Linked DNA regions of Oryctolagus cuniculus. The protein of the gene in region 4 purifies or fractionates together with the protein of the main gene of each other region. This does not show direct contact. Links are inferred from orthologs where the notes say so. Each region holds a gene or a part of one and is shown on either strand. Other genes may lie near its edges.

Region 1 (3,903 bases), on a different chromosome or scaffold from region 4:
TGGACAAAGAATGATTTTTAAGAAAAGCTGCCGAGGCTCATGGTGTTGAACTGGACAGACTCGTGATGTCTTCCGCTCGTCTGGATCCTGTAGGCCGAGGGTGGGGTGAGGGTGTTTCCTGCTGTCCTGAGGTCACAGGATCGCCCACTCCTCACGGCCCCGGTGTGCATCTCATGTTCTGAGCGGCTCAGCGCCTTCGGTGCCTCCCAGCCCAGCGGAGTCACAGCTCCCACAGCTCATTTTAAGTACTGGCCGTGATTCACACACAGTGGATCCCACACCTACCCCTGTGTCCTATAGGGTGAACCCCCATCCTTATCGAGCTATTTTCACCCTCTGGTCAACTCCTATGCGGGCAGGATGTAAGCAACCCCGGCTGAGGGCCTGCAGCCGCTCCCACGCGGAGGCTCCCGCAGGTGTGATTCCCTCTGTGTTTTACCCTCCTAACCACGAGTCAGTCTAGTCTGGCGTCAGAGGGCAGTGTGGAGTCCAGGAAAGCTGCAATAAATAGTATAAAAACACCCAACTGGCAGGGAACGTGCCTTTTAGGCCACCCTTTCTATAAAGCACGAGGTGTGCCAGTGTTAAAACGCCAGGATTTTCACTTGAAAATATAGAGAGACGTAGAGTTTTGAAAATACACCAGAGCAAAACTCTGAAATGCAGTTTTTAAACGTGCTCAAATTTTAAAAATAAATGTCAAACACTAACCACGGGGTCTGATCATGTGAATTCAACCTAAGAGGAAGTCCTACGATTCATTGCCTCAGGTCAATGAACCCAGTCAATAAATCATCACCATAATAGAATTTTATTTCCATGGATATGCATCAATTCAAGGAAATCCACCTTGAATGTACTTGGGACTCTGTACATTAGGAGGGTTAGCAAAGCCACCTCGGGTGCCACCGGCACACGTCTTCATTGGTAGCACCAGCTCCGGGTTAGGGAGTCGGTTCTCATACCTGGATTGCTCCCCAGAGACAGGAGCCTGCGGTCCTTCAGCCAGCTGTAGTTCTTCACCAGGCTTTCTGCTCGAGCCAGTTTGTCCTCTGCTAGCCTCTCACGGACACAGAGCTCACGTTCCTTCTCTATAAAAGGGGCATGGAAAAAAAAAAAAAACACGACAATTCACATTTGGTTGTTTTACTGCTCTTTCTAATCACTACCTCTAGGTGCCTGGGCCCTGAGTAGCAATGCTTTGAGAGCGATTTCTTAGCAGAGTCCCTGCTCAACCCGAGTATGCTAGAGCCTCTGTTCTGATTCGTTGTAGGTCAGCTTGGGTTTTCTTGCAAGGACTTGTTTAAGCCCAACGACGTTAGCTCCAACCCTGGGTCAGGCTGTGTGGGAGCTGACTGAGAGGGTAAACACAAAAACCATGTCTGCTTGTGACTGAAAACAAGCGACAGTTCCTGGCCGGGGCGGCGACAGGACGGTGGGGACAGTGGGGACGGACTCTCCCTCTGCTGGCTGGTGCACGGCACCGAGTGGAAGGGAAGGCAGCAGCAAGCAGCTCTAAACAGAAACGATGGCAACTCCACTCCCGGCCCAAAATTCAGTGTTCGCGCTTCAGCTGCCGCGGGAGGTTACCGGACACGGGGGCCAATTTTCAGATGATGCCTGTGTTTTTATTTTCATTTTTTGCAGAATTCTTTGGTTGGAGGAGTCAACAAAGTCTCTCGGTGAGCAAAGGTTGGATTTAGCCCAGCTCCCGTTCCTCGACGGCACTTTGCCGTTAGCGTCAGGGAGGAAAATGTTAACAAACGCACCGTGTGCGTTACGAGAGCATTTAAGCATTAAAGAGCTTAGAGCCTGCATGGTGCCTAAAGCTGCAGCGGCAGAGTCAGTGAGCCAGGGGGCAGCAGGAGGCGGCCACAGCCCCAGCCCTCGTCTCCTGTGTTCACGGGAAGACTTCCACTGCTGCCGCTGCCTCGCATGGCCCTAAAATCGCACTGGCAGCTCTGGGTGGCGCAGACAGACTTGCAGCATCACAGACTAACTGGCACCGTATCAGTCAGCACTCATGGAGCCAGCGCCAACACCCAGCAGGTATTATTTATTAACCTAGGCGATCTCACACCCATATGCCCAACTGCCTCAGGGTAGCTCACTCCTAGGCACTCCCAGGACTTCAGACCCGGAACTGTGTTGGCGTAGACCCTGCACAAGGTAGAAGTCATGGTTTTTATTATGGAAGGCAGCAACTTTGAAAACCTTTTTACTTATGATCTTTTATTGGAAATGCAGAGACAAGAGACAGAGTGCTCATTTGCTGGTTCACTCTCCCAGTGGCCACCAACAGCCAGGGCTGGGCCAGGCCAAAGCCAGGAGCCAGAAGCTCCATCTGGGTCTCTCACGTGGGTGGCTGGGATGCAACGTGAGCTCTTACCTGCTGCCTCCCAAAGTGTGCATTACTGGGAAGCTGGACTGCAGAGCGCAGCCGGGACTCGACCCAGACACTCGACACGGGAGGCGGGAGTCCCGAGAGGCAGTTTAACTGCTGTGTCAAAGGCTTGCCCCAAGGTCTTCTTTCACCATGGAAGAACTTCACAGGGACGGCGCTGTGGCACAGCAGGTTAAGCTGCTGCCTGCGACTACGGCACTCCGTACTGGAGCCCAGTTCAAGTCCTGGCTGCTCTGCTTCTGATCCAACTTCCTGCTAATGCACCCGAAAGGCAGCCCGTGATGGCCCAAGTACACGGGCCCCGGCCACCTAGGTGGGAGATCAGGATGGAGTTCCCGGCTCCTCACTTTGGCCTGGCCCAGTCCTAGCTGTTGCAGCCGTTTGGGCATGAGTTAACCAGCAAGTGCAAGATCCCTCTTTCCCTGTCACTCTGCCTTACAAATAGATTTTTAAAATCTTAAAAAACAAACAAACAAAAACAAAACAAAACAAAAAACTTTAGGGTATTTATCTTAAAGATAAGAAAAAAATCAACTCTACAGTAAAACAAAATGTGTCTGGCAGCCGATTTGAGAGAAAGCTATCTAAGGCGAAAGCGCCTGCGAGTCTGATGATCTAGTCTGGAACACACAGGAAGGTTCTAGAGAAGCCCCACGCATGTTCCGTTCACGGAAATATCCACGCATATCCAGCGTCCTCGTGCGGGCTCCCCGCCCCGGACCCCCGCCGCCTTCCCGACTTAGACTTACGCTCCAGTCGGTCCTCTCTGGCCTGGAGGGCCCGCTCTCGCTCCTGCAACTGTAGCTCTTTCAGCCTCAGCTCGCTGAGCCCGGGGCCGGCGCTGAGCCCCGGGCTGGACTCCTGCGACTTTTCCGGCTCTCCTGGTCGCCGCCCTCTTCTCTCAAGAGCTCGTCCTTGCTCTTCGGCAACCAAGTCCGCTATCAAAGCGTCCTGCAGGATCTCTTCCACAGAGGGCCGCTGGTAGTCCTGGGGGCACAGTACTGAGGCTGCAGTCAGAGGGCCCGGCGAGACAGCTACCCCAAGGGAGCCTGACACGACAAGGGCACGCGCCGCCGAAGCAGAAGAAAGCGCTCCTCTCTGGACAGCTCTTAGCTCAAAGACAAGCTCACTGCCGGTTTTCACCCATGAGCTTCCGGGTCCATGGGGTCACGCAGCTGCAACCCATCCCTTCCCCCTTCGAAGTACCACGGCACACCTCGTGCTGGTGCTTGGTAGCCCTGGGGCAAGCACTGTCCTGGCATCTCCGGGCGAAAGGGCACAGGACGCCCGTTCACCAGCCTCCTCCCCCCCCCACTCCGCCTGTGTCCTCTGCGACCCTGGGGCACTTTCCCTCCCCCTCACCTCAGCCTCCTTCCTCCATCCCACGTTCAAAGTTTCTCCACGAAATCCGCTTATCCCTGTGGCTTCCCCTCTTCTGCTGTCTCCTCCTGCCCTTCCTCTTCTGCGCTCTCCCCTCTCATCCCGAGCTGGAGGCAGCA
Region 2 (3,903 bases), on a different chromosome or scaffold from region 4:
GGAGCTTGGTTGACAGTGGGTTGGCTTCCGTCCAGAATCTAGGTCAACCCAGATCAGATCCCCGACATGGGAGGGGCTCGATCTGTTGCCAAGGAGACGAGACAGGGGCACCCAGGACAATTTGAAGTTGTGAATTGTTTTCCTTTTAGGAGAAAGGGGGGGACAGTGCTCTCGTACCATGCGTGAGTTTAGACCCAGGATATCAACCTGCTCTTGGCTTAAAGGAGCAGTGGTGACACTGGGGGAAGAACCAGTTCCTGGACTTGGTAGCAGGCAGTGTGGGTTTGGGGCGGCTGGAGGGAACGTGTTGGTGCACGTGCAGAGGGGTCTGGGGCAACTCCAGACTGGATGGCTTTATCCCTTCTGGGCCTGATGCCCTGGTCCTCGGGGTGGGAAGCAGAAGGGGGTCAGGATCTCACTGAAGCAGCAGCCCAGGTCTCAGAGTAGAAGTCGCAGAGGCCGGAGGATCCCACACTGCCCTGGCCAGGCCCATCCTCTGCCTCTTCATCCTCGCCGGGGCCCGAGTAACCTTCCACTGGCTCCTGCAGCTCTTCTCTCACGCCGTGTCGTCTAACGGGAACGCCATTGAGGACCCGATGGAGATCGTGATCACGGTGACGGACCAGAACGACAACAGGCCTGAGTTCACCCAGGAGGTCTTCAAGGGCTCGGTCATGGAAGGCGCGCTACCAGGTCTGTCCAGGACGAGCGGCTGGTTGCCTGGAGCCGGGGTCAGGCCCCTGACGCGGACCCTTGCTGTGGACAGAACTTGTTTGGGAGCCAGTGTGTGTGTGTGTGTGTGTGTGTGTGTGTGTGCACATGCAACACAACCTAGCCTCAGGAATGTGCGACTGATGGAGCAGTGACAGCCACCTCCCCCCCTGCCTAACACAGCAGTGCTTGTGTATTGCTCTTTGTTCTTCTAAGGTTTATTATTTGAAAGTCAGAGTTAGCCATCAGTTTTCCGTCTGCTGGTCCACTCCCCAGACAGCCACAACCATCAGGGCTTAGCCAGGCAGGAGCCAGGAGCTTCATCCAGGTCTCCATGTGGGTGGCAGGGGCCCAAGCGCTTGGGCCATCTTCTGCAGCTTTTCCCAGCCCATTAGCAGGGCACTGGATCGGAAGTGGAACAGCTGGGACTCAAACCAGGACCCATATGGGATGCCAGCATCGCAGGTGGAGCCTTACCTGCTTTGCCATAGCCACATGTGCTGCTCACACAACATGCTGAGCCATGTTAAGCGATGACAGAGTGTCTCCCAGGTGGCTGAACCGGTTTACATTCCCACCAGTAATATAGATCCTGGGCTTACTGGACATTTTGGCGTTTGCCTACCTGTCGTGTGATTATGTCTTAGTGCAGTTTAAAAGGGCATCTCAGTGATTACCAGTGAGCTACACAACTTTGCTAGCCACTTGTGTTTCTTTTTCAGGACTGTGTGTGTGTGTGTGTGTGTGTGTTTCTGTTGGGCTGGTTGTGTTCCCTAGTGATCCTTTTCCTAACTGTGTAGTTGTTTAAAAAAATTTTACTTATTGAGGGATAGAGAAAGAGCACTCCCATCTGCTGATTTACTCCCCAAATACCCACAACATCTGGAGCTGGCCAGGCTGAAACCAGGGGCCAGGAACTCCAGGTCTCCCATATGGGTTGCAGGGACCCAAGTACTTGGGCTATCACCTGCTGCCTCCCAAGGTGCAGTAGCAGGAGGTGGAGTCGGGAGCAGAGCCAGGACTTGAAGCTAGGCAACTCCAGTGCCTACTCAGTGCCTTAGCCACTGGGCCAATTGCCTGCCCCCTTGTTGATTTTTTTTTTTTTAAAGATTTTATTTATTTGAAAGGCAGAGTTAGAGAGGTGGAGAGAAAGAGAGAGAGGTCTTGTATCTGCTGGTTCACTCCCCAAATGGCCACAACGTCAAGAGCTGGACCAACCTGAAGCCAGGAGCTTCTTCCAGGTCTCCCATGTGGGTGCAGGGGCCCAAGGACCTGAGCCATCTTCCACTGTTTTCCAGGCGCATTAGCAAGGACCTGGATCAGAAGTGGAGAAGCTAGGACTTGAACTGGCTCCCATATGGGATGCTGGCACTGCAGGCTGGGGCTTTAACCCTCTACGCCACAGTTGCTGGGCCCAAACCCTACCCTGTTGATTTTTAAGCATTATTTAGATGTTCTAGATACTAGACTAGACACTAGTCTCTTGTCAGTCACACGTGTTAATGAGTATTTTCTTCCACCTTGAAGGCAATGATCTCAAATTACCATGCACTCCAATAAAGCTGCAACAACAAGCCAAGTGAGGAAAGTTCTGGAATGTTCTTTCTGTCTGTCTGTCTGTCTTTCTTGGCAGAGGAAAACAGGAGAGATTGATTGATTGTTCATCTTCTGGCCCACTGCCCAGATGGTTGCAATGGCCATGGCTAGACCAGGCTTAAGCCAGGAGCCTGGAAACTCCATCCAAATCTCCCACCTGGGTGCAGGAACCAAGCACTCAGGTCATCTTCCGCCGCCTTCCCTGGCACATTAGCAGGGAGCTGGATCAGAATTAGAACAGCCGGGGCTCAAACTGGTGCTTGTACATAATGCCAGCATTGCAGATAACAGCTTAAGGCATCACACTACAATGCCAGTGCCTGGATTTTTCTTATCTTTGATGCCATTCACTCAGTAAAGCCACATCACAAAGTGTTGTAGAGATATTTAGTCCTCAGATTCACCTCTGCGTGCTGCCCGAAATGTGTGTTGGAAAAGTTGGGTCCTCGTTTGGCTGGATGCTTTCTTCCTCCCCTTGCGCTTTAGTGAGAACGTCAGAGAATTGGCATCAGCTGCTGGTGGGGGAGCCTGGCTGTCGCAGGCATCCGGGGAGTTAACTGGTGGGAAGGAGCTCGCTCCGTCCGTCTCTAACTCAACGGATAAAGTAAAAGTTCAGCACTCAGGGCCCAGGAGCTGGGACGTGACCGCATCGAAGCTGCCCTCTGTCCTGTGGGCACGAAGTCGGCCCCAGGGCGGCCGTCAGGTTCCCAGCCTGATTGCGTCTTCTTCCCCGGGGCAAACAGGAACGTCCGTGATGCAGGTCACGGCTACGGACGCGGACGATGACGTGAACACCTACAATGCTGCCATCGCCTACGAAATCCTCAGCCAGGAGCCCGAGCTGCCGCACAAGAACATGTTCAGGATCAACCCGCAGACCGGAGTCATCAGTGTGGTCACCACCGGGCTGGACCGAGAGGTCAGGAGGACCCAGGGGACATGGAAGCGGCTGTGTGGTTGGCTAAATCCCGTGGCAGTGCGAGGCCACTTGTCCCAGAGCGGCGGCCGCTGCCCCCGTCCTAACCCGAGTGTGCTTGGTCTCCGCAGACGTACCCCGAGTACACCCTGGTCGTTCAGGCTGCTGACCTCCAAGGCGAGGGCTTGAGCACCACGGCGGAAGCGGTGATCACGGTCACTGACATCAACGACAACCCTCCCGTCTTCAACCCCACCACGGTAATCTCCCAGCGGTGCTGCTGCCCTCTGTTTGGGAGCCGAGCTTCCCCACTGCTCTGGGGAGGTCCTGCGTGCGCTCCCCAGCCCGGGCGATGCCGACTTAGAACCTGGAGGCCAACGCTCCGGCCTGGCCGTTGTGCTCGGGCATCTTTTTTCCCATCTCTGGCCCCGAGGCCCCTTGGTGGAGGACCGCGAAGATGCAGACAGCGCCCCTCAAAACCATGTCCTTGCCTCGCGTGTCCTTGTTGCGGATCTTACAGGGGTTCATTTACTCGCTGGGCAAATGTTTCCTGCTTGCAGCTGCACACTGTGGCGTGCGCTGGAGGCATCCTCACAGACAAAGCACACACAGGTTCTGTTCTACAGCTCAGCGTCTAGCCGGGGAGATACTGAGTAGTTTGCACGCCTTACTGAATACCA
Region 3 (4,337 bases), on a different chromosome or scaffold from region 4:
CCTGGCCTGTGGGTCTGGGGGACCCTGTGCGGGTATCACAGCCTGGCCTGTGGGTCTGGGGACCCTGTGCAGGTATCACAGCCTGGCCTGTGGGTCTGGGGGCCCTGTGTGGGTATCACAGCCTGGCCTGTGGGTCTGGGGGCCCTGTGCGGCCATCACAGCCTGGCCTGCGGGTCTGGGGGCCCTGTGTGGGCCATCACAGCCCGGCCTGCGGGTCTGGGGGCCCTGTGTGGGTATCACAGCCCGGCCTGCGGGTCTGGGGGCCCTGTGTGGGTATCACAGCCTGGCCTGTGGGTCTGGGGACCCTGTGTGACCATCACAGCCTGGCCTGTGGGTCTGGGGGACCCTGTGTAGGCCATCACAGCCCGGCCTGCGGGTCTGGGGGCCCTGTGCGGCCATCACAGCTCGGCCTGCGGGTCTGGGGGTCCTGTGCGGCCATCACAGCCTGGCCTGCGGGTCTGGGGGCCCTGTGTGGGCCATCACAGCCCGGCCTGCGGGTCTGGGGGCCCTGTGTGGGTATCACAGCCCGGCCTGCGGGTCTGGGGGCCCTGTGTGGGTATCACAGCCTGGCCTGCGGGTCTGGGGGCCCTGTGTGGGCCATCACAGCCCGGCCTGCGGGTCTGGGGGCCCTGTGTGGGTATCACAGCCCGGCCTGCGGGTCTGGGGGCCCTGTGTGGGTATCACAGCCTGGCCTGTGGGTCTGGGGGCCCTGTGCGGCCATCACAGCCTGGCCTGTGGGTCTGGGGGACCCTGTGCGGGTATCACAGCCTGGCCTGTGGGTCTGGGGACCCTGTGCAGGTATCACAGCCTGGCCTGTGGGTCTGGGGGCCCTGTGTGGGTATCACAGCCTGGCCTGTGGGTCTGGGGGCCCTGTGCGGCCATCACAGCCTGGCCTGCGGGTCTGGGGGCCCTGTGTGGGCCATCACAGCCCGGCCTGCGGGTCTGGGGGCCCTGTGTGGGTATCACAGCCCGGCCTGCGGGTCTGGGGGCCCTGTGTGGGTATCACAGCCTGGCCTGTGGGTCTGGGGACCCTGTGTGACCATCACAGCCTGGCCTGTGGGTCTGGGGGACCCTGTGTAGGCCATCACAGCCCGGCCTGCGGGTCTGGGGGCCCTGTGCGGCCATCACAGCTCGGCCTGCGGGTCTGGGGGTCCTGTGCAGGTATCACAGCCTGGCCTGCGGGTCTGGGGGATCCTGTGTGGCCATCACAGCCTGGCCTGTGGGTCTGGGGGACCCTGTGCGGGTATCACAGCCTGGCCTGTGGGTCTGGGGACCCTGTGCAGGTATCACAGCCTGGCCTGTGGGTCTGGGGGCCCTGTGCGGCCATCACAGCCTGGCCTGTGGGTCTGGGGGACCCTGTGCGGGTATCACAGCCTGGCCTGTGGGTCTGGGGACCCTGTGCAGGTATCACAGCCTGGCCTGTGGGTCTGGGGGCCCTGTGTGGGTATCACAGCCCGGCCTGCGGGTCTGGGGGCCCTGTGTGGGTATCACAGCCTGGCCTGTGGGTCTGGGGACCCTGTGTGACCATCACAGCCTGGCCTGTGGGTCTGGGGGACCCTGTGTAGGCCATCACAGCCCGGCCTGCGGGTCTGGGGGCCCTGTGCGGCCATCACAGCTCGGCCTGCGGGTCTGGGGGTCCTGTGCAGGTATCACAGCCTGGCCTGCGGGTCTGGGGGATCCTGTGTGGCCATCACAGCCTGCCCTGTGGGTCTGGGGGCCCTGTGCGGCCATCACAGCTCGGCCTGCGGGTCTGGGGGTCCTGTGCAGGTATCACAGCCTGGCCTGCGGGTCTGGGGGCACTGTGTAGCCATCACAGCCTGCCCTGCGGGTCTGGGGGCCCTGTGCGGGTATCACAGCCTGGCCTGTGGGTCTGGGGGCCCTGTGCGGGCTAACCACAGTACCGACTCCAGCTCTCCTCCCAGACCAGAGGCCTAGCAGACCTAAGAGCCGGTGCCTCCCCACCGACTTTCCTCTCTGTCCCACAGAGCCCCGTTCCAGCTGGCCACCAGGGCTAGTGCCCCTTCAGGAGCTCCTGTTCGCACCTCGCTGGCTTTGTGGGAACCCAGGGGCGAGCAGGGACGGTGTGCCCGGCCCCGGCTCCCGCCAGGCGGCCCCGGCCGCTGGCTGCAGGATGGAGTGCGGGACCCTCTGGCGCACCTGCGGCCGGCAGGCTCCCGCCCCCTCCGCGGGTCCCCTCGCTCACAGCCCCGTCCTGAGCCCGGGCGCGCGGGCTCCCAACACTTCCGGAACAGGGCCCGCCCGTCGCTGCCCCGCGCGGCCCCGCACTCACCCGGGCCCTCGATGGTGACCTGCAGGTCGGTGAGGTCCTCCTCGTTGGGGAAGACCTTGATGCCGTCGGGCGGGTCGGCCGTGAGCATCGCCACCTCCTTGTACACCAGGCGGACGATGTGCGGAGGCAGGTTCTCCACATTGGAATTCTGGGCACGGACGGGAGGCAGCGTGAGCCGCCCACAGCTGGGGGCCGCCCTGCGCTCGACCCTGCAGCCCAGGCCGCCTGCCAGCCGCGCCCGGGGCCTGCCATCCCTACCCCACCGATCTCGGCCGAGGCCTGGAAATGGCGGCGGGACGTCCTCGCTCCCGCTGACAGCCGCGGGCGGACCACCAGGCGCCCGGAGCCCTCCCCGCGGCCCCGCCGGGCCTCCCGCGCCGGGACACCTGCCGCACAACCAGGCTCCGGCCCCGCCTGCGGGAGGCCCGGAGTCCCCGCCCCGGCCTGCGCCCACCCCGGAGGCCGCCCGCCCGCCCGCCCGCCCGCTCTTCCAGGACAGCCCCTCGGCGGCCCTGCCCGGCCCGACCCCCGCGCTCACCATGACTGCGGCCGGCCGGGGGCGGGTCCCCCCGGCCCCCTTCTTGCGATCTCCGGGGAAGCCAACCGGGGCGCGGGGAAGGGGTCAACAGCCGCCGCCGCGGTCCTGGCGCGGACCCGCAGCTCCACTCCGCGCCCCTCCGCCGCCGCCGCCGCCGCCGCCGCCGCCGCGCACACCGCACGCCGCTCCGCCCGCCGCGGGAGCCGAGCCGGACTGAACTCGCCGTGCGCGCCCCGCCGCCCTTTTGTAGCCCCCCGCAGGCCACGCCCCCCGCAGGCCGCGCCGCGCCGCGCCCGGCTCGTGACGTCAGCACGCACGCGCCTCCGCGCTCACGCGCTGGCGCCCCCTCCGCGCAGCTCAGGTAGAAGCGAGAGAGGCTGGGACGGGGGCTGAGCGGCGGGCCGGCCCGCGGGGGCGCGCAGGAGCCGGGAAGCGCGCCGGGAGAGGGCGGCGGTTGAGGGCGCGGAGCAGCGAGGAAGGGGGCGCGGGAGATGCTGCGGCCGTTGATTGGGCCGTTTGAATCGGACGCCCGAGTTACGCGCGCGTGCCCCGACGCCGAGAACGACGCGCACGCGACTAACGGTCGCCCTGAGGCGCGGGGAGGGGCGAGAGGGGGCGGGACTCGTGGGTTTTAAACGGGTGACGGAAGGCGCTCGGGCCGAACGGACGCGCACTAGCGATGGGGGAGTCACGAGGCTCGCGCGGACCAATCCCTGACGGAGAAGGCGGTGCCGAGGCTGGGGGGCGGGCAAGAAAGGAGCGCGACCAATGACTACCCAGAAGAGCGCGGGCCAAAGTGCTTCCAGCCAACGAAATGTCTTGATTTTTTGTATATGCAAATGAGGCGTGCAGTGCCCGCCGAGCCCCCTCTCCCTGGGCCGGGGGCGGGCGCGGGAAATCCCGCTTCGTTTTTCTCGGAGGCGCCATTTTGTGCCGGACATGCCCAGGTCCCCGAGGCTCAGAGCCTCGCCGGCGTGGCGTGGAAGACGTGCTTCGCCGGCCGGCCCTCTGGGGTGTGGCCCCTGACCCTCGCCTGGCCTCGGCGAGGACGCGGGGCCTGCTTGCGCGTGCGGCCGGGGAGCCCTGGGGATGCCCGGGAAGGAAGGGAGGCGCGGGGCGTGGCTCTACCTGTGACGGACAGGCGGCTCCCGGCCTCTTCCGGGACGCCCCTTCCCGGTCAGGAGTCTGGGAAGGGCGTCGTGTGCGGACGCGGGTGTCCGTGGCCGGAGACGCCAGGCGAGGGGGCGGCCTTGAGGCCCCGCGTGGCCCCGTGCGCTCGTGGGGGCAGCGGGTCGAGGTTGGCGGGGCCCGGCTGTCGGGTTAGCCCGTCTGACAGGCGAGGAAGCCGGAGGTCCGGCCCGGAGAGGCGGAGCTGGCCGTTAAACTGGACCCCCTCAGGAACCCACCGGAGCACAGCGGGCCGGGGCGGGAGCGCCCGGTGGGCCGGCGGACACCTGCTGCACCTGCCATGTGCACGCACCGTGCTGCGGGCGTTCCGCGGGGATGACC
Region 4 (3,011 bases):
TTAGTTACATACTCAAATGAGAACTGAGGCGCAAGGCAAAATTCAGCAATAGATTTCTGCAAGTCCACTGGCTGGAACCAACCTGAAGAAAACTAGGTTCAAAACTGAGACCTTCTACCTGATTCCATAGACATCTGATTATTACCTCACCCTGGTCACCTAAAATTCCACTTGGTATAAAGAAAATAAAACCCCATGGATAGAAAAACAAGCAGTCCACAAATCTTTATGCAAAAAGTAGCTTTCAAATACTCAAAGTCATATGTATGATACTCACTGATCTGTTCTTCTTGAGTTATTGGCTCTTCGTCATCTGGGAGATAGCGTTTATCAATTGCCTCTTTAATCTGGTTATTGGCTCCTTTAGGATCTAAATCCATAGCCCAAGAGAAATTCATCAGGGCGAGGTGTGTCTGACCTAATTTCTTGTAAACCTAAAAATAAACAGCAATACTACATTTTTCATTAAGTTGTGAGCTTCAGCTATAAAATTCTAAACATTTAAAGCTTCAATGGGACTCTTGATTTATGTGCTAACCCCATTCAGACAGGGAAGACATTTACAATCCACAGACGGACTCACGCTGGCTGTGAGCTGCTTCTGAGCGCACTCAGATACCACGTTCAGAATTCCCTGACTACCTTTCAGGTGTGCGTTTCCAAGAATCTCACTCTGACTTGAACACTGACAACGGGAAGAAATGGACTCCAAGCTGCTCGATTAGCAGTCGTTCACACAGTGTGGCGGGCACTTGGGCGGCAGCTGGGAACCTGTGTATGAGGCCTGGCTTCAAGCCCCTGTTCTGCTCCTGATTCCAGCTTCCTGCTAATACAGCCTCTTGGAGGCAGCAGGTGACGGTGTATGTAGCTGGGTTCCTGCCAGCGCACGGAAGACCTGGACTGAGTTCCAGGCTTCTGGTTTCAGCCTGTCCTAACCTCTGGCTGTTGTGCAGGCATTTGGAGAGTGAGCCAACAGATGGACGATCTCTCTCTCTCTCTCTGCCTTTCAAATAATATATTAAAAAAAAAAAGTACATTCACGCTGACTTTAAATATACTTCTATCAACTCAATATCTGCCCACAGTTGTACCAGTTAAATCAATTAGACACTGAGATCCCAGCCTATAAAATAGGAATCTTGGAAGCCATTTCTTCTAATCAAGACAATATTGAGGTATTAACAGTCTTCTTCTGGGGGATTTCTAAGTGTTTTTACTGAGAACTGGAAGCTAAGTGCTTTCCATGTGGTAGTCTCAGTTACAGCCTCATTACTTGCCTTTGGCTGCAAATTGCTAATCTACTTCCAATACCATTTTGGATTAGGATTATGGGTTATGTATTCTTGCTCCTTCATTAGGACATTATCTTCTTAAGATGTCAGAACTAAATCCATTATCTTCAGAGCACTTAGTTCAGAGCTCTCACTGAATTTTCTCAATAGATACTGTACACTAAAGTATTATGTTTATTCTTCAAAAGTTAATATTTGGTATGAAAATCACAGTTTAGGACCATGGCCTCAATCTTTACCTTTCCTATTAAGAAGTAAACAAGGGATTCTTTGGGAACAATTTGCTTCAATTCTTCAAGTTCTTGTAAAGCAGACTGAAAAAGGCAAAGAAAAATTTTAGAGCAGCAAAATTTTACATTTTGATTAAGCAATTATGTTTATTAATTTTCTAAATCATAAAACAAAAGCTTGGTGTTATCTTAATCAATATACTTCATTAATTCTTGTGAAAACAAAATGAAAAACATTTAAGTTACAACAAAAACTAAGAAATGGCAAGCACCCATCAAAATACACTGAAAACCCCCTCCCCACACACAGCCTCTTTTGTGAAACATGAAGGTGGTGACAATCCTTGCTTTTGTCACCATTCTACTTAAAAACAACAACCACCTTATCAGGTTGTGAAAGTGGTTTGAAAACTAAGTTACAGAATAAAGTAGCCTGAAGTTCCATCTGGTCTCCTTGAGTAAGCATTAGGCTTCAAGTATCAACCTACCCAATTTAACTAACAAAGTAAAATATAATCTTTTTTAAAAAAGTTAATGGAGAATGTGTCTTATGGAAAAATTGTGCCTAGATTTCAATTTTTTTGCACCAAAATAAACTTACCTTTTGTTAATTTTAAAACAATTTTTCATGGTTTATTTCAGAAGCAGGGAAAGAGGGAGACAGTGAATGACAGAGAGACAGAGGTCCTAGTCACTGGTCATTGCCCAAAACGCCCACAATCTCTAGGGCTGGGCCAGGAACCGAATTCAGGTCTTCTGTGTATGTGGCAGGGATCCAAGGACTTGCTCATCATCTGCTACCTCCCAGAGTGCACATTACTTGGAAGGTGCCATCAGCAGAGCCAGGACTCAAGCGTAGGCACTCTGATATGGAATGTGGGGTCCCAACGCCACATCTTTTTTTTTTTTTTTTTTTTTTTGACAGGCAGAGTGGACAGTGAGAGAGAGAGAGACAGAGAGAAAGGTCTTCCTTTGCCGTTGGATCACCCTCCAATGGCCGCCGCTGCAGCCGGCGCACCGCGCTGATCCGATGGCAGGAGCCAGGATCCAGGTGCTTTTCCTGGTCTCCCATGGGGTGCAGGGCCCAAGCACCTGGGCCATCCTCCACTGCACTCCCTGGCCATAGCAGAGAGCTGGCCTGGAAGAGGGGCAACCGGGACAGAATCCGGCGCCCCAACCGGGACTAGAACCCGGTGTGCCGGCGCCGCAAGGTGGAGGATTAGCCTATTGAGCCACGGCGCCGGCTCCAACGCCACATCTTAACGTTTAGCCTGCCCCTAAATTTATCTTTTATTTTAAGTTTCCATGAGCATTTTGAAGTCCCCCTGTTTAACAGGAGAGTGTTAATGACAAAAGCAAACTGGAGAAAAGTATGTATACTTGTATGTTTTTTATTGCTTCATATAGTACAAATTTGATGGCTTGGGGCATGAAACATTTTTTCTGCCAAGGATTTTTAACATCATTTGTGGGCCTTACAAAATGATCT
Region 5 (3,903 bases), on a different chromosome or scaffold from region 4:
AAACAGGATTGGGAGGCTGAAAAACTTGAGAAATGTACTGATTGCTCTTTGCAGCTTCACAGAAGCCACAACATATGACAGACACTGTGATTTCTCTAACAAGGCTTAAGAAAAATATTACCTAGGTGGCCAGCATTGTAGCACAAAGAATTAATAAGCTGCTGCTTCTGATACCAGCATTCCATATCAGAGCACTGGATCCAGCTCCAGCTGCTCCACTTCTGATCCAGCTCCCTACTAATGCACCTGGGAAAGCAGCAGCAGATGGCCCAAGTACTTGGGCCCCCACCACTCACGTGGGTGACCCACATGGCATTCTGGTCTCCCAGGTTTGGCTGGGGCCAGTCCTAGCCATTTGGGAATAAACGAGCAGATAGAAGATTTGTCCCTCCCTCTTTCTATTGTTCTTTCAAATACATACCTACATACATATATACATACTTTTTAAAAATGGGGCAGAAGGAATTTAATCCTTTGTTAAGGATGGTGCTTAGCTAACAGATTCCTACATTAAATATATTCCAATTGAGACCTGACAGTAATCTTCCAAATGTACCACATATGACAAACCATTCTGAACTGTGCTGTATGCACAACACTATAAACCAAATAAATCTCTATTTGTCAAAAAACATGTGAAGTATCTAAATGTAGAAACATCCTTCATAACTAACTAATTTTGATGACTGAACCAACACTTTGGATTATCTGCTTCTTTAAGTGTTGAACTCACAGAACTACTTAAAACAGTTAAGAGCAATGTAGACAAAGAATGGAAATGCTTACTTTAGCAGCTTTCAAAATGGAGTTAGGAGAATTCAGACCAACAAGTTGGCCCAGAATATTTTTCATTTCATCAGATGTTCCCTTAGCAATTTGGTTACCTACAAAATAAATACAGCCAATAATTCACTAGAGCCAAGAAGAAAAACATAGTCCATTATAAAAACATATTCCGTTTAACAGCACAAAAACTGATTCTTATCATTTATCACTGATCATAGCCTTTTATCACAGGATAAATGAAAAATGTATGCCGGCTGGTAAAAAAAAGGCAGTTTTAGTTACTTTAATAAGGCAGGCTAAAAGGTAGTCAATTCAGATTATCTGTATTTACAAATAGGCTGTCTAGGAATTTAGTAATTTTTAAGGCAGTAGTACCTGGATGAGCTTGAATTTGAACATATGGATGTGCCAGGAGCTCAGGAATCGATATCCTCAGTTTAGGGTCCCTTATTAAGCAACGCTATGAAAATAAACATTAAGTTTTTAAAAAAGAAAAGTTAAGTTTTCCTATGTGCCTTTGATAAAAATATTTTTTCCAGGTTATATATCATAGAAGTTTCTTTCTAGATAAGAGAGTATATTAGAGTTCATGAAAGTTTATGTAGGTGCAAAAAATTTTTTGAAATCCAAAGTATTTTCTTAATATACATTTGTATGAAATTTTTAAAGACCCTTCATATAGCACGAAATAATGACAAGGCTACCACTCAAGCCACTTGGGAAACCCAAGTATTCATACCTTCAAGGTAAACTAAACACATTCTAAAAAGCTAATTCAGTCAATAAAACCACTTAATAGAATAATTATATTTAAGCCAGTTATATACTTCTACTCATTCCATTTATTTTAAACAATTAATTATATTAAGTATTATAATATATCATATATATTATATGTATATATATATATGTTACCTTTAACACATCTTGAAGATCTTTCTCTGGAATATCAGGAAATTCAATTTCATGATTGGGATCAATTATGGCATGTAATTTGGAAATCTGATTAATTATATGCTGAAATGGTGTTTTGCCATAAGTCATATAGTACAAGATGCATCCTAAGGACCAAACATCACTTTTTGGGCTTATCTAAGTAGGAAAAAAAATAACAAATTGCATTATTTTAATATATAATAGAATCTAAGAACATTCCTAATATAAAAATGTGCATGTGTGTGTGTTTTCAAAGCCCTTTCATTGTAAATTCCTTAATATTTAATAATATAAGTATCTCTCACTGAATGTGCAAGCACTAGATTATATTTACATGACAAACCATCTTTTTCTAGTTTTCATTACATTTGGTTATTTCATCCAGAGATGATTTTCACTTTAAATCTTCCAACAAATTCATAATTAAAATATTTCAACTGAGACAAAATATTTTTGTTCACTTCTGAAAATAAGTGGAAAAATAAAAAAACTATAAACTCTAATATACTTAAAATTATAAACATAATTATATAAACAAATATACATACTAAAAGTAAATAACTATAAACTCTAATTTTTCCCAGAATGACTGATTATAATAAACTGTATATTAATTCAAGTATTAAGATTTACCATTAAGTATTAAATCATTCAGTTGACAACTAAAAAAAAAACCTCTTATGTGCAATTCAAAATAAATCACTTTTTTTAAAAGAAATCTTCCCACTTTTTAAAAAATTTTTAACTTTCTTTTTAAAGATTTATGTATTTGAAAGTCAGAGTTACAGAAGAGAGGGGGAGAGACAGAGAGGGATCTTCCATCCACTGCTTCACTCCTGAAATGGCTGCAACAGCTAGGGCTGGACCAGGCTGAAGCCAGGAACTTCATACAGGTCTCCCATGTGGGTGAGGGGCCAAACCACTGTGCCACCTGCTTCTGCTTTTGCAGGTGCATTAATTGGAAGCGGAGCAGCTGTGACCAGCACCCATATGCGATGCCAGCATCACAGGCAGTGGCTTATCCTGTTACACCACAACTCTGGCCCCTCAAAAAATAAATCAAAGTAAAATGGAAACCTGAAAGCTTAAATTACAAATTTTAGACATGAGTAAAATTAAGAAATTACAGTAAAATCTGTAAAAATAGCATCTAGGGTAAAAACTCAGAGTACAAGTTATAATTTTCATTTTTTAATTTTTAATCTACTCGAAAGGCAGAGTCACAGGAGACAGACTTATCTTCCATGCACTGGTTGACTTCCCAAATGCCTGCAATAGCCAGGGCTGTGCCAGGCTGGAGCCAGAAGCCTAGAAGTCCATTTGGGGTCTCCCACATATGCTGCCTCCCAGGATGCATCAGCAGGAAGCTGGATTGGAAGCAGAGGAGCCAAGACACAAACCTAGGAACACTGACATAGGATGTGGGCATTCCAAGTTGTGGCTTAACCTTGTTGTGTCACAATGCCTGCCTTGTTTTGTTTTCATATCTATTTATTTGAAAGGTAGAATGAGAAAGAGAAAGAGTGAGCAAGCTTCCAACTACTGGTTAACTTTCCAAATGCCCACAACAGCCAGGGCTGGGTCAGTCCAAACCCAAAAACCTAGAACTCCATCTGGGTGTCCCATATAGGAGATAGGAACCAAAATATGTGGCCTATCTCATCTGCTGTTTCCCATGGTCAGCAGCATGAATCTGGGTCAGAAATGAAAAGGGGACTAGATGCCAAGCACTCTAATACGGGATGTGGGAATCCCAAATGGTGGCTTAACCTGCTATGCCACAAAGCCATCTAAAATTCATAGTATTAATGTTTTTTAATTGCAGGCAAGGATACTAAAGTTAAATTAGTTATTATTTAAATTAAGAAGCTGGGGGTGGGGGGTGTCAGCGCAGTGGGTTAAAGACCTGGTCTGCAGTGCTGGCATCCCATGTGAGCATAGGTTCGAATACCGGCTGCTCCACTTCCAATCCAGCTCACTGCTAATGTACCTGGGAAAGCAGTAGAAGATGGCCCAAGTCCTTGGGCCCCTGCACCCATGTGGGAGACCGGGAAGAAGCTCCTGGCTCCTGGCTTTGGATCGGCTCAGCTCTGGTCACTACAGCAAGCCATGCAAGGCGGCCCAAGTCTTTGGGTCCCTGCACCTACATGGTCTGAGACTCAGATGGAGTTCTGGCCCTCA
Region 6 (4,686 bases), on a different chromosome or scaffold from region 4:
AGTCATGTAAGAATAAATTTCTGTTGTCTTGAGTCACTGAGTTTGTGGTACTTTGTTAGAGCAGCCACAGGATCTAACAGTAAAAGTCTGAGATGCCTGCAAAGGAGACAAATAGAGCTATTGGTGTAAGAGTCTGGAGTTCACAAGTTATTGTTTTAGCTATTCCTAAGGGTTTGAAAGTTGCACTCTTACCTCTAGGTCCTTTCGAATGCTCTCAAACTCTTCAATGTCATCAAGCTTGAGCTCCAAGCGCGTGGGTTTCCGTCGCAGCATACTGAAATCTACACTGAGAGCAGATCCAATCAACTATGAGCTATTAAAAATGACACAGAGAAAAACTGGAGGTGATACGTTGCAGTTACATACATAAGGCCAATTTCTACACATGTACACTAAAGTGAAGGCAATAGCAAAATCAAACTTGGATTCACACATAGATCTCTTTCTTTTTTTGAAAGGCAGAGTGACAAAGAGATGGAGAGGCACAGAGAGACAGAGATCTCTCATCCACCATAGTTCACTACTCCCATGGCCACAGTGTCTCTGGATGAGCCGGGCCAAAGCCAGGAGTCAGGAGTTCCATTGTTGTTTCCCAAGTGGGTGGCAGGGGTTCACACACACCGGCCATTATCTGGTGCTTTCCCAGGCACATTAGAAGGGAGCTGGACTGGAAGCAGAGCAGCCAAGACTCTGATATGGGATGCCATATTGCAAGATGTGGTTTACCTTCCGTGCCACAATGCCAGCCCCACACATAGATTTCTTAAGGCTTTAGGTGTATGCTTCTTACATTTGTATTTCATGATGGAGATCCACAACGCGGTGATTCAAAAACCTCTTTCTGAAAAAACTGAACACCAGCAAGCTGCCTATAAGAAAATTCTAGGCAAAACTGAACTCACCAATTCACAAGATTCTCTTCAGTGTCTCAATCAACCAGACAGATCATTCATTAGCAAAGACTTCTTGTGCTCCGGCTACAAAATTAAAAGGTACAGACACAACCTGTGGGAGAAACAGACACGTGAGGGGAAAATTAACAGCGAGGGGAGCAAGAACACTGATGAGAATACAATGGCAGCCATGCTGGCCCGAAAGCTGGACTAGGTGTGGGGTGGTGGCCAGGGATGTTAAACACGGCCTATGGCAGGAAATGATGTCTAAATGGAGTCTTAGTCGACATCTAAAGAGCAGGCAGAGAGAACAAGTGCACAAAGAAGCTCAAGAGAACAGTCTGAGTCAAGACAATACTTTTAACAAAAACCCTTTCTTTGAGCAAACAGAACTCCCCATCACGTTTAGTATCTGTTGAGGGGCACCTTCATGGCACCCAACAGAGTCTGTGTATGTACATTAGGCAGTCAGTAAACGTTCCCTGAATATAGGAAACAACTAAAGTAAAATGAACTTGAGTGAGCACTGGGCTAATTTTTCCATCACCATTCTTCACTTGCTTATTTTAATACGAAAACCCTGTGAGGCTGGCAAGATCGTCCTATTTTACAGAGAAAGAAGTCAAAGCAAGCTGTCCAGTCTGGCCTCCTGTAGGAGTCACACATAGGACCGTGGGGTGAGGATTAAATGAGACTGATGTAAATGAACGCCACTGGCTGTACCCAGGATGAAACCGGGGACTGAGAAGTGCATAAAAGAAGAAACATTTCCTCCTCCTCCCATGAAGCCTGAGACAGACACGCAGTGGTAACACAAAACATTACTTTTTTTTTTTTTTTTTTTTTTTTTTGCGGCTCACTAGGCTAATCCTCCACCTTGCGGCACCGGCACACCGGGTTCTAGTCCCGGTCGGGGCGCCGGATTCTGTCCCGGTTGCCCCTCTTCCAGGACAAAACATTACATTTCAATTTGCTTTGACTTAAATCTGATACTGTCCACCAGATTCCAATGCCGACAAGCAGCAGAGGAAAACGAAGTTCCAAATGGGGTGAGGAAGGGATACTGAGAAGATCGCTATGCATTTTAACTTTTCTGCGAAAACGAAAAGCCCACCACCACCACTAGGAAGCAGGGTAGAGACCCGGCTGAAGTGCTGGCTCCGATCCCTTTAAGTTTCCGATCTTTGTCTCGCACCAGACCTTCCTTGCCTCTATACTCTGTTGCTGTCTGAATTGAATGGCGTAATGCCGATTAAGCTCCTGGCTACACAACTGTGGTATTCAGTAAACGCTCAATAAATAACAGGCACTTATGACTGCAGTTGTTGGGGGCGGGGGGCGGAAGAGATAACGATGGGGGAGGGGGGTGTTCCAGCTCTGCAAACACGAACATTTTGAGTCTCCCACCCACTACATGCCTTGTTCATCGCTGATGCCCCCGCACCCAGAGGAGCACAGGGCTATGCAGGAGAGTCGGCTGCGGTCTACCCGACGCCTTCCTAGCCATCATCTCACTCAGTCTGACACAAAGACCCGGCTGAAGACGAAACAAAAGCAACAGCAAAACCGGGCCGAAGCTTCGCCCGCTCTTTACTTCACTTAGACGCTAGAGGGCTCTTTGAGCTTCATCTCTCACCGCTGCCCAAATCCACCGCAAACTGAGCCAGCTCGGCCGGAGCCCCCGGCCCCGGGAGGACTTTCCTCCCCACCCCCACCCCGACAACCCTCCTCGCCCAGCCCCAGGACCACACTCAGCGGTCCGGGCGATGGTTTCCATGGCAACATGGGCCTCCGCCCCGGGACGACGTAAAGTCTCTAGGAGCCCTCGGTAAGCTCCAGAGTTCAGCGCCCGGCCGCGCGACTTGACTCACCTTCCTCTCTCTCCAAGCCCGCTCAGCCCCTTCCCGGAAGGAACCTCAGCTCCCACCACGAATCTACTGCGAGCCCAACTGGACTACACTTCCCAGAGTGCTTCGCGCCCCTCTCCCCTCCAGAACCTCGTCTCCCGCGAGCTTTTCTCGGAGGTTCTAAGGGTCATGCCCCTCCACGCGACCAGAATAGTAACTACTACGACTCCCATGATGCTCCGCGCCGCTCAGGGCGCTGCGTCGGCGCCCGACTTCACTTCCGGTCCGTGACGTAGTTCCGCTTTGCTGGGCGCGCGGTGGATGGTCTGAAACGGAGAGCTTGGCTTTTTCTGGGGCTTGGCTGCTGCGGAGCCCAGCATGGCTTCGTCACGAGCGTCCTCCACGGTACGGAGCTCGGGATCTCAGTTCACTGCGGCAGGGAGCGCCGAGAGGGTGGGGGTCCCTCGGGGAAGGGTCCGTTAGGGAGCGGGCTGACAGGGTGGAGGGCTGCCGGACTCGGTCCTGCCCTCCAGAGCAGAGCAGCATTCCCCGGACCCTTGAGCGAGTGTATGTGCTGTTACTCGTATGCACCTGTCCCACCGCAGCCCCGAACGGCAAACACCACTTCCGACTGGTCCAAACCAGGGCTCCGGAGTGGGCGAGTGTCTTGGCCACGGTGGCTGTCTATAGGAGACCTCGGAATTGGGATGAGGCCTCCCGGCTCCTGCTCTGCTACCACAGGTCTCAAAACGCTTGAGATGGACCGAGCAGGAGCGTTGTCACTGGCTACCCCTCCCTCGGCACCACGCCGGTTCTTTTACCTTACCCTTGGTGTTTCCCCCCGTGTTAAACGGTAACCCTGGAAGTATCACGAAACCCAAAAAGAGCTTGCACTTCCAACAGAATGAAGTGATCGTCTTCCAGAGGCAGAACCACCCGGAGAACCGGGTTTAATCCACCTCTTCAAGCTGTCAAACTGGAAGTGATTGAAGGGCTGACGTGCCCTCCCGCCCCCATCCCCACACCCGCGGGTCCGTGAAGCGCATCTTCCCTGGCGCCCAGTTTGGCCTTTTGTTGGGGGAGGTCAGGATGAACTTCACCCTTTAGGGAAGCCTCGTGGATTGCTAAGATCGAGCCTTGAATTAATCGAAGCCTTCGGTCTAGCAGGCCACCAAAACGAAAGCGCCTGATGACCTGGTGGCTCCGGTGGTGAAGAAGCCACACATTTATTATGGAAGTCTGGAAGAGAAGGAAAGGGAGCGGCTGGCCAAAGGAGAATCTGGGATTTTGGGAAAAGAAGGACTTAAAGCAGGAATTGAAGCAGGAAATATTAATATAACCTCCGGTAAGATGACAGATTTCAGTCCATCTTTACCTTTACCTCCAGTTTTCTGTAATGCGTGCCTTCCTCAGCTTAGATAGCTGTAGTTTTATGTTACAAGTTTTCAATTTTTAAACTTGAATCTATAGACTCATATTTTGCTTACACTACCTAGCATCATCCAGGAGCCTTTTTTTTTTTTTTACAGAATTTTTTTTTTTTTTTTTTTTTGGACAGCCAGAGTGGACAGTGAGAGAGAGAGACAGAGAGAAAGGTCTTCCTTTGCCGTTGGTTCACCCTCCAATGGCCGCTGCGGCCAGCGCACCACGCTGATCTGAAGGCAGGAGCCAGGTGCTTCTCCTGGTCTCCCATGGGGTGCAGGGCCCAAGCACTTGGGCCATCCTCCACTGCACTCCCTGGCCACAGCAGAGAGCTGGCCTGGAAGAGGGGCAACCGGGACAGAATCCGGCGCCCCAACCAGGACTAGAAGCCGGTGTGCCGGTGCCGCAAGGCGGAGGATTAGCCTAGTGAGCCGCGGCACCGGCCCTACAGCTTTTAATATACTGTTTTTCCCATGAATTATTAGTTCTTTTACCAGAAATTTTTTCAGTGCACATTTGGGATT
Region 7 (3,903 bases), on a different chromosome or scaffold from region 4:
CCTGCTCATGTGCCCTGGCTGTGTGTCCCCCGTGGGGCCCTGCTCGTGTGTCCTGGCTGTGTCCCCCGTGGGGCCCTGCGCGTGTGTGCCCTGGCCGTATGTCCCCCGTATGTCCCCCGTGTGTCCCCCGTGGGGCCCTGCGCGTGGGCCCTGGCCGTGTCCCCGTGGGCCCTGCGCGTGCGCCCCCGTGTGCCCCGGCCACGTGGCCGTGCCGTGTCCCACACAGGCTCTCCCCCAGGCACCGGCTCAGCCTGCTGGAGCGCGTCAGTGCCGAGGCGGTGACCACCACCCTGCACCAGGTGACGCGGGAGCGCATGGAGGACCGCTGCAGGGGCGAGTACGAGCGCTCCTTCCTGCGCGAGTTCCACAAGGTGACCTCCCCGCCACGCTGGCGCCAGGGGCGGGGTGCAGGCCGGCGGCAGTGTGGACGGGGGGTGAGGGGCCGGGGGCGGGGTGCAGGCCGGCGGCAGTGTGGACGGGGGGTGAGGGGCCAGGGGCGGGGTGCAGGCCGGCGGCAGTGTGGACGGGGGGGGGGGGGACGGGGGCGGGGTGCAGGCCGGCGGCAGTGTGGACGGGGGGTGAGGGGCCAGGGGCGGGGTGCAGGCCGGCGGCAGTGTGGACGGGGGGATGAGGGGCCGGGGGCGGGGTGCAGGCCGGCCGGCAGCATGGACCGGGGGGGGGGGGATGAGGGGCCAGGGGCGGGGTGCAGGCCGGCCGGCAGTGTGGACCGGGGGGTGAGGGGACGGGGGGGTGAGGGGACGGGGGGGTGAGGGGATGGGGGGGACTGGGGGAGTCAGGGGACTGGGGGGGTGAGGGGGGTGAGGGGACTGGTGGGATGGGGGTACTGGGGGAGAGGGGACTGGGGAGGTGAGGGGCCGGGGGGGTGAGGGGACGGGGGGGATGGGGAGGACTGGGGGGGTGAGGGGACGGGGGGGTGAGGGGATGGGGGGGACTGGGGGAGTCAGGGGACTGGGGGGGTGAGGGGGGTGAGGGGACTGGTGGGATGGGGGTACTGGGGGAGAGGGGACTGGGGAGGTGAGGGGCCGGGGGGGTGAGGGGATGGGGAGGATGGGGGGGGACTGGGGGAGTCAGGGGACTGGGGGTTGAGGGGACGGGGGGGATGGGGAGGACTGGGGGGGTGAGGGGCCGGGGGGGTGAGGGGACGGGGGGGTGAGGGGATGGGGGGGACTGGGGGAGTCAGGGGACTGGGGGGGTGAGGGGGGTGAGGGGACTGGTGGGATGGGGGTACTGGGAGAGAGGGGACTGGGGAGGTGAGGGGCCGGGGGGGTGAGGGGATGGGGAGGATGGGGGGGGACTGGGGGAGTCAGGGGACTGGGGGTGAGGGGACTGGGGGGGTGAGGGGACGGGGGTATGGGAGGGGACTGGGGGGGTGAGGGGATGGGGGGGACTGGGGAGGTGAGGGGACTGGGGGCCGTGTGCTGCACCCGTACAGCAGAGGGCTGGGGCTGAGGCGGTGTCTGGGCGAGTGGGCCCATGGGGGGCTGTGGATACGCAGGCACTCACGGTCGTCACCACGGCTGAGTCTGTGGCCCCTGCCTGCCAGGGACCTGCCGGGCCCTGATGCGCAGCAGGGTGTGAGGCGTAACAGGTGCTGGGGGCGGGGCCCACCCTGCAGGGGCGAGGTGGGCCTGCCGAGGCCTGACCAGCAGGGTGGGCAGCCTCTGGGTTGGCTGGGGCTCACTGCCACTCACGCGTGGGGGCTCTCCGACAGTGGATCGAGAGGGTGGTCGGCTGGCTGGGCAAGGTGTTCCTGCAGGACGGCCCTGCCCGGCCCGCGTCCCCGGAGGCCGGCAACACGCTGCGGCGCTGGCGCTGCCACGTGCAGAGGTTCTTCTACCGCACCTACGCCAGCCTGCGCATCGAGGAGCTCTTCAGCATCGTGCGGGGTGGGTGCTGCCCCCACCCACGTCCTGGCCACACCCCGCCGGCTCGCTGTCCCCTGCCCCTTCGGCCTGGTGGGCAGTGACCCCGCGGGGTTGCTGTGCTGAGACGCCGCCCGTGCGAGCGTCAAGGGTGCCGTCCCCAGAGCGCCCGCAGCCCGTGTGTCCTCGCCGCGTGCGCCTTCCCGGCCTGCCCGTGTGTGCGTGTGCGTGTGCGTGTGCGTGCGTGTGCATGGCCCTGAGGTGGCCCCTTCCCGCAGATTTCCCAGACTCCCGGCCGGCCATCGAGGACCTCAAGTACTGCCTGGAGAGGACGGACCAGAGGCAGCAGCTGCTCGTGTCGCTCAAAGCTGCGCTGGAGGCCCGGCTCCTCCACCCAGGTGCCCTCAGCCCCGGCGCAGCCCCTGGGCCGGGCGCGCTCCTGGAGGAAGGCAGGGCCCAGCTGGTCTGGCCTGGGGTGGGGGCTCCTCAGAACAGGCTGCCTGGTCCGTGGAAGCCTCTGGAGAAAGTGCCTGTGAGAAGGTGGAAGTGGGGGTGGGGTCAGCTCCCTGTGGTCCCCTAGGGAGACAGGTCCCGGGGGAGACCCGTAGGCTGCCCACTTGGGTGTTGGCACCGGCACCTGGGGGCTGCTGTCCAGGACTCTGAGTGACCGCGCCCCCACCCCCGCAGGCGTCAACACGTGTGACATCATCACTCTCTACATCTCGGCCATCAAGGCGCTGCGTGTGCTGGACCCCTCCATGGTCATCCTGGAGGTGGCTTGTGAGCCCATCCGCCGCTACCTGAGGTGAGGCCCCGCACCAGGGAGCCGGCCTCCCGGCCTTCTCACGCCGGGCACCTCGGGGCTCCTATCCCCCCCACTGTCCCTGTGTCCTGCAGCGACCCGGCCCCCCACGGTCCCAGTGTCCCCCTACAGTGACTCGGCCCCCCCACTGTCCCAGTGTCCTGTGGTGACGCGGCCCCCCACTGTCCCAGTGTCCTGCAGCGACCTGGGCCCCCCACTGTCCCTGTGTCCTGCAGTGACCCGGGCCCCCCTCCACTGTCCCTGTGTCCTGCAGTGACCCGGGCCCCCCTCCACTGTCCCTGTGTCCTGCAGTGACCCGGGCCCCCCTCCACTGTCCCTGTGTCCTGCAGAGACCCGGGCCCCCCACTGTCCCTGTGTCCTGCAGAGACCCGGGCCCCCACTGTCCCTGTGTCCTGCAGAGACCCGGGCCCCCCACTGTCCCAGTGTCCTGCAGCGACCCGGGCTCCCCACTGTCCCTGTGTCCTGCAGCGACCCGGGCCCCCCACTGTCCCTGTGTCCTGCAGCGACCTGGCCCCCACACTGTCCCTGTGTCCTGCAGAGACCCGGGCTCCCCACTGTCCCTGTGTCCTGCAGAGACCCGGGCCCCCCACTGTCCCTGTGTCCTGCAGAGACCCGGGCTCCCCACTGTCCCTGTGTCCTGCAGCGACCCGGGCCCCCCACTGTCCCTGTGTCCTGCAGCGACCTGGCCCCCACACTGTCCCTGTGTCCTGTGGTGACCTGGCCCCCCACAGTCCCAGTGTCCCCCTGCAGCGACCCGGCCCCCACACTGTCCCTGTGTCCTGTGGTGACGCGGCCCCCCACTGTCCCAGTGTCCCCCTGCAGCGACCCGGCCCCCACACTGTCCCTGTGTCCTGTGGTGACGCGGCCCCCCACTGTCCCAGTGTCCCCCTGCAGTGACCCGGCCCCCCACTGTCCCTGTGTCCTGTGGTGACGCGGCCCCCCACTGTCCCAGTGTCCCCCTGCAGTGACCCGGCCCCCCACTGTCCCTGTGTCCTGCAGTGACCCGGCCCCCCCCACTGTCCCTGTCTCCTGTGGTGACCTGGCCCCCCACTGTCCCTGTGTCCTGCAGCAACCTGGGCCCCCCACTGTCCCTGTGTCCTGCGGAGACCCGGCCCCCCACTGTCCCTGTGTCCTGCAGTGACCCGGGTCCCCCACTGTCCCTGTGTCCTCGTGCACTTGGCGTCACCCCCCGCCTGA

What was found.
Region 1: the proteins of CDC27 (region 4) and NEK2 purify together in Homo sapiens (affinity purification with mass spectrometry; 6 studies listed by BioGRID and IntAct, with this or other methods). This does not show direct contact. The link is inferred for Oryctolagus cuniculus from reciprocal best matches to the Homo sapiens genes CDC27 and NEK2.
Region 2: the proteins of CDC27 (region 4) and CDH1 purify together in Homo sapiens (affinity purification with western blotting; 4 studies listed by BioGRID and IntAct, with this or other methods). This does not show direct contact. The link is inferred for Oryctolagus cuniculus from reciprocal best matches to the Homo sapiens genes CDC27 and CDH1.
Region 3: the proteins of CDC27 (region 4) and UBE2S purify together in Homo sapiens (affinity purification with western blotting; 4 studies listed by BioGRID, with this or other methods). This does not show direct contact. The link is inferred for Oryctolagus cuniculus from reciprocal best matches to the Homo sapiens genes CDC27 and UBE2S.
Region 5: the proteins of CDC27 (region 4) and TTK purify together in Homo sapiens (affinity purification with western blotting; 3 studies listed by BioGRID). This does not show direct contact. The link is inferred for Oryctolagus cuniculus from reciprocal best matches to the Homo sapiens genes CDC27 and TTK.
Region 6: the proteins of CDC27 (region 4) and CDC26 purify together in Homo sapiens (affinity purification with mass spectrometry; 12 studies listed by BioGRID and IntAct, with this or other methods). This does not show direct contact. The link is inferred for Oryctolagus cuniculus from reciprocal best matches to the Homo sapiens genes CDC27 and CDC26.
Region 7: the proteins of CDC27 (region 4) and ANAPC2 purify together in Homo sapiens (affinity purification with western blotting; 20 studies listed by BioGRID and IntAct, with this or other methods). This does not show direct contact. The link is inferred for Oryctolagus cuniculus from reciprocal best matches to the Homo sapiens genes CDC27 and ANAPC2.

The regions. Positions count from the first base shown.
Region 1 is NC_091444.1:26,244,401-26,248,303, forward strand, and holds part of NEK2 (serine/threonine-protein kinase Nek2), read right to left. Parts: intron 3,392-3,903; coding exon 3,154-3,391; intron 1,092-3,153; coding exon 966-1,091; intron 1-965. UniProt on the Homo sapiens protein: Protein kinase which is involved in the control of centrosome separation and bipolar spindle formation in mitotic cells and chromatin condensation in meiotic cells.
Region 2 is NC_091449.1:51,968,641-51,972,543, forward strand, and holds part of CDH1 (cadherin-1), read left to right. Parts: intron 1-548; coding exon 549-693; intron 694-3,050; coding exon 3,051-3,226; intron 3,227-3,354; coding exon 3,355-3,483; intron 3,484-3,903.
Region 3 is NC_091449.1:3,531,057-3,535,393, reverse strand, and holds the start of UBE2S (ubiquitin-conjugating enzyme E2 S), read right to left. Parts: upstream 3,030-4,337; 5' UTR 2,832-3,029; coding exon 2,829-2,831; intron 2,439-2,828; coding exon 2,291-2,438; intron 1-2,290. UniProt on the Homo sapiens protein: Accepts ubiquitin from the E1 complex and catalyzes its covalent attachment to other proteins. Catalyzes 'Lys-11'-linked polyubiquitination.
Region 4 is NC_091448.1:17,013,890-17,016,900, reverse strand, and holds part of CDC27 (cell division cycle protein 27 homolog), read right to left. Parts: intron 1,607-3,011; coding exon 1,532-1,606; intron 454-1,531; exon of another isoform or gene 435-453; coding exon 278-434; intron 1-277. UniProt on the Homo sapiens protein: Component of the anaphase promoting complex/cyclosome (APC/C), a cell cycle-regulated E3 ubiquitin ligase that controls progression through mitosis and the G1 phase of the cell cycle.
Region 5 is NC_091436.1:92,424,672-92,428,574, forward strand, and holds part of TTK (dual specificity protein kinase TTK), read right to left. Parts: intron 1,879-3,903; coding exon 1,702-1,878; intron 1,247-1,701; coding exon 1,162-1,246; intron 885-1,161; coding exon 787-884; intron 1-786.
Region 6 is NC_091432.1:216,877,929-216,882,614, forward strand, and holds the start of CDC26 (anaphase-promoting complex subunit CDC26), read right to left. Parts: upstream 2,999-4,686; 5' UTR 2,765-2,998; exon of another isoform or gene 2,312-2,764; intron 1,006-2,311; 5' UTR 903-1,005; intron 314-902; 5' UTR 274-313; coding exon 193-273; intron 1-192. UniProt on the Homo sapiens protein: Component of the anaphase promoting complex/cyclosome (APC/C), a cell cycle-regulated E3 ubiquitin ligase that controls progression through mitosis and the G1 phase of the cell cycle.
Region 7 is NC_091432.1:237,477,398-237,481,300, reverse strand, and holds part of ANAPC2 (anaphase-promoting complex subunit 2), read left to right. Parts: intron 1-238; coding exon 239-371; intron 372-1,732; coding exon 1,733-1,907; intron 1,908-2,161; coding exon 2,162-2,281; intron 2,282-2,570; coding exon 2,571-2,688; intron 2,689-3,903. UniProt on the Homo sapiens protein: Together with the RING-H2 protein ANAPC11, constitutes the catalytic component of the anaphase promoting complex/cyclosome (APC/C), a cell cycle-regulated E3 ubiquitin ligase that controls progression through mitosis and the G1 phase of the cell cycle.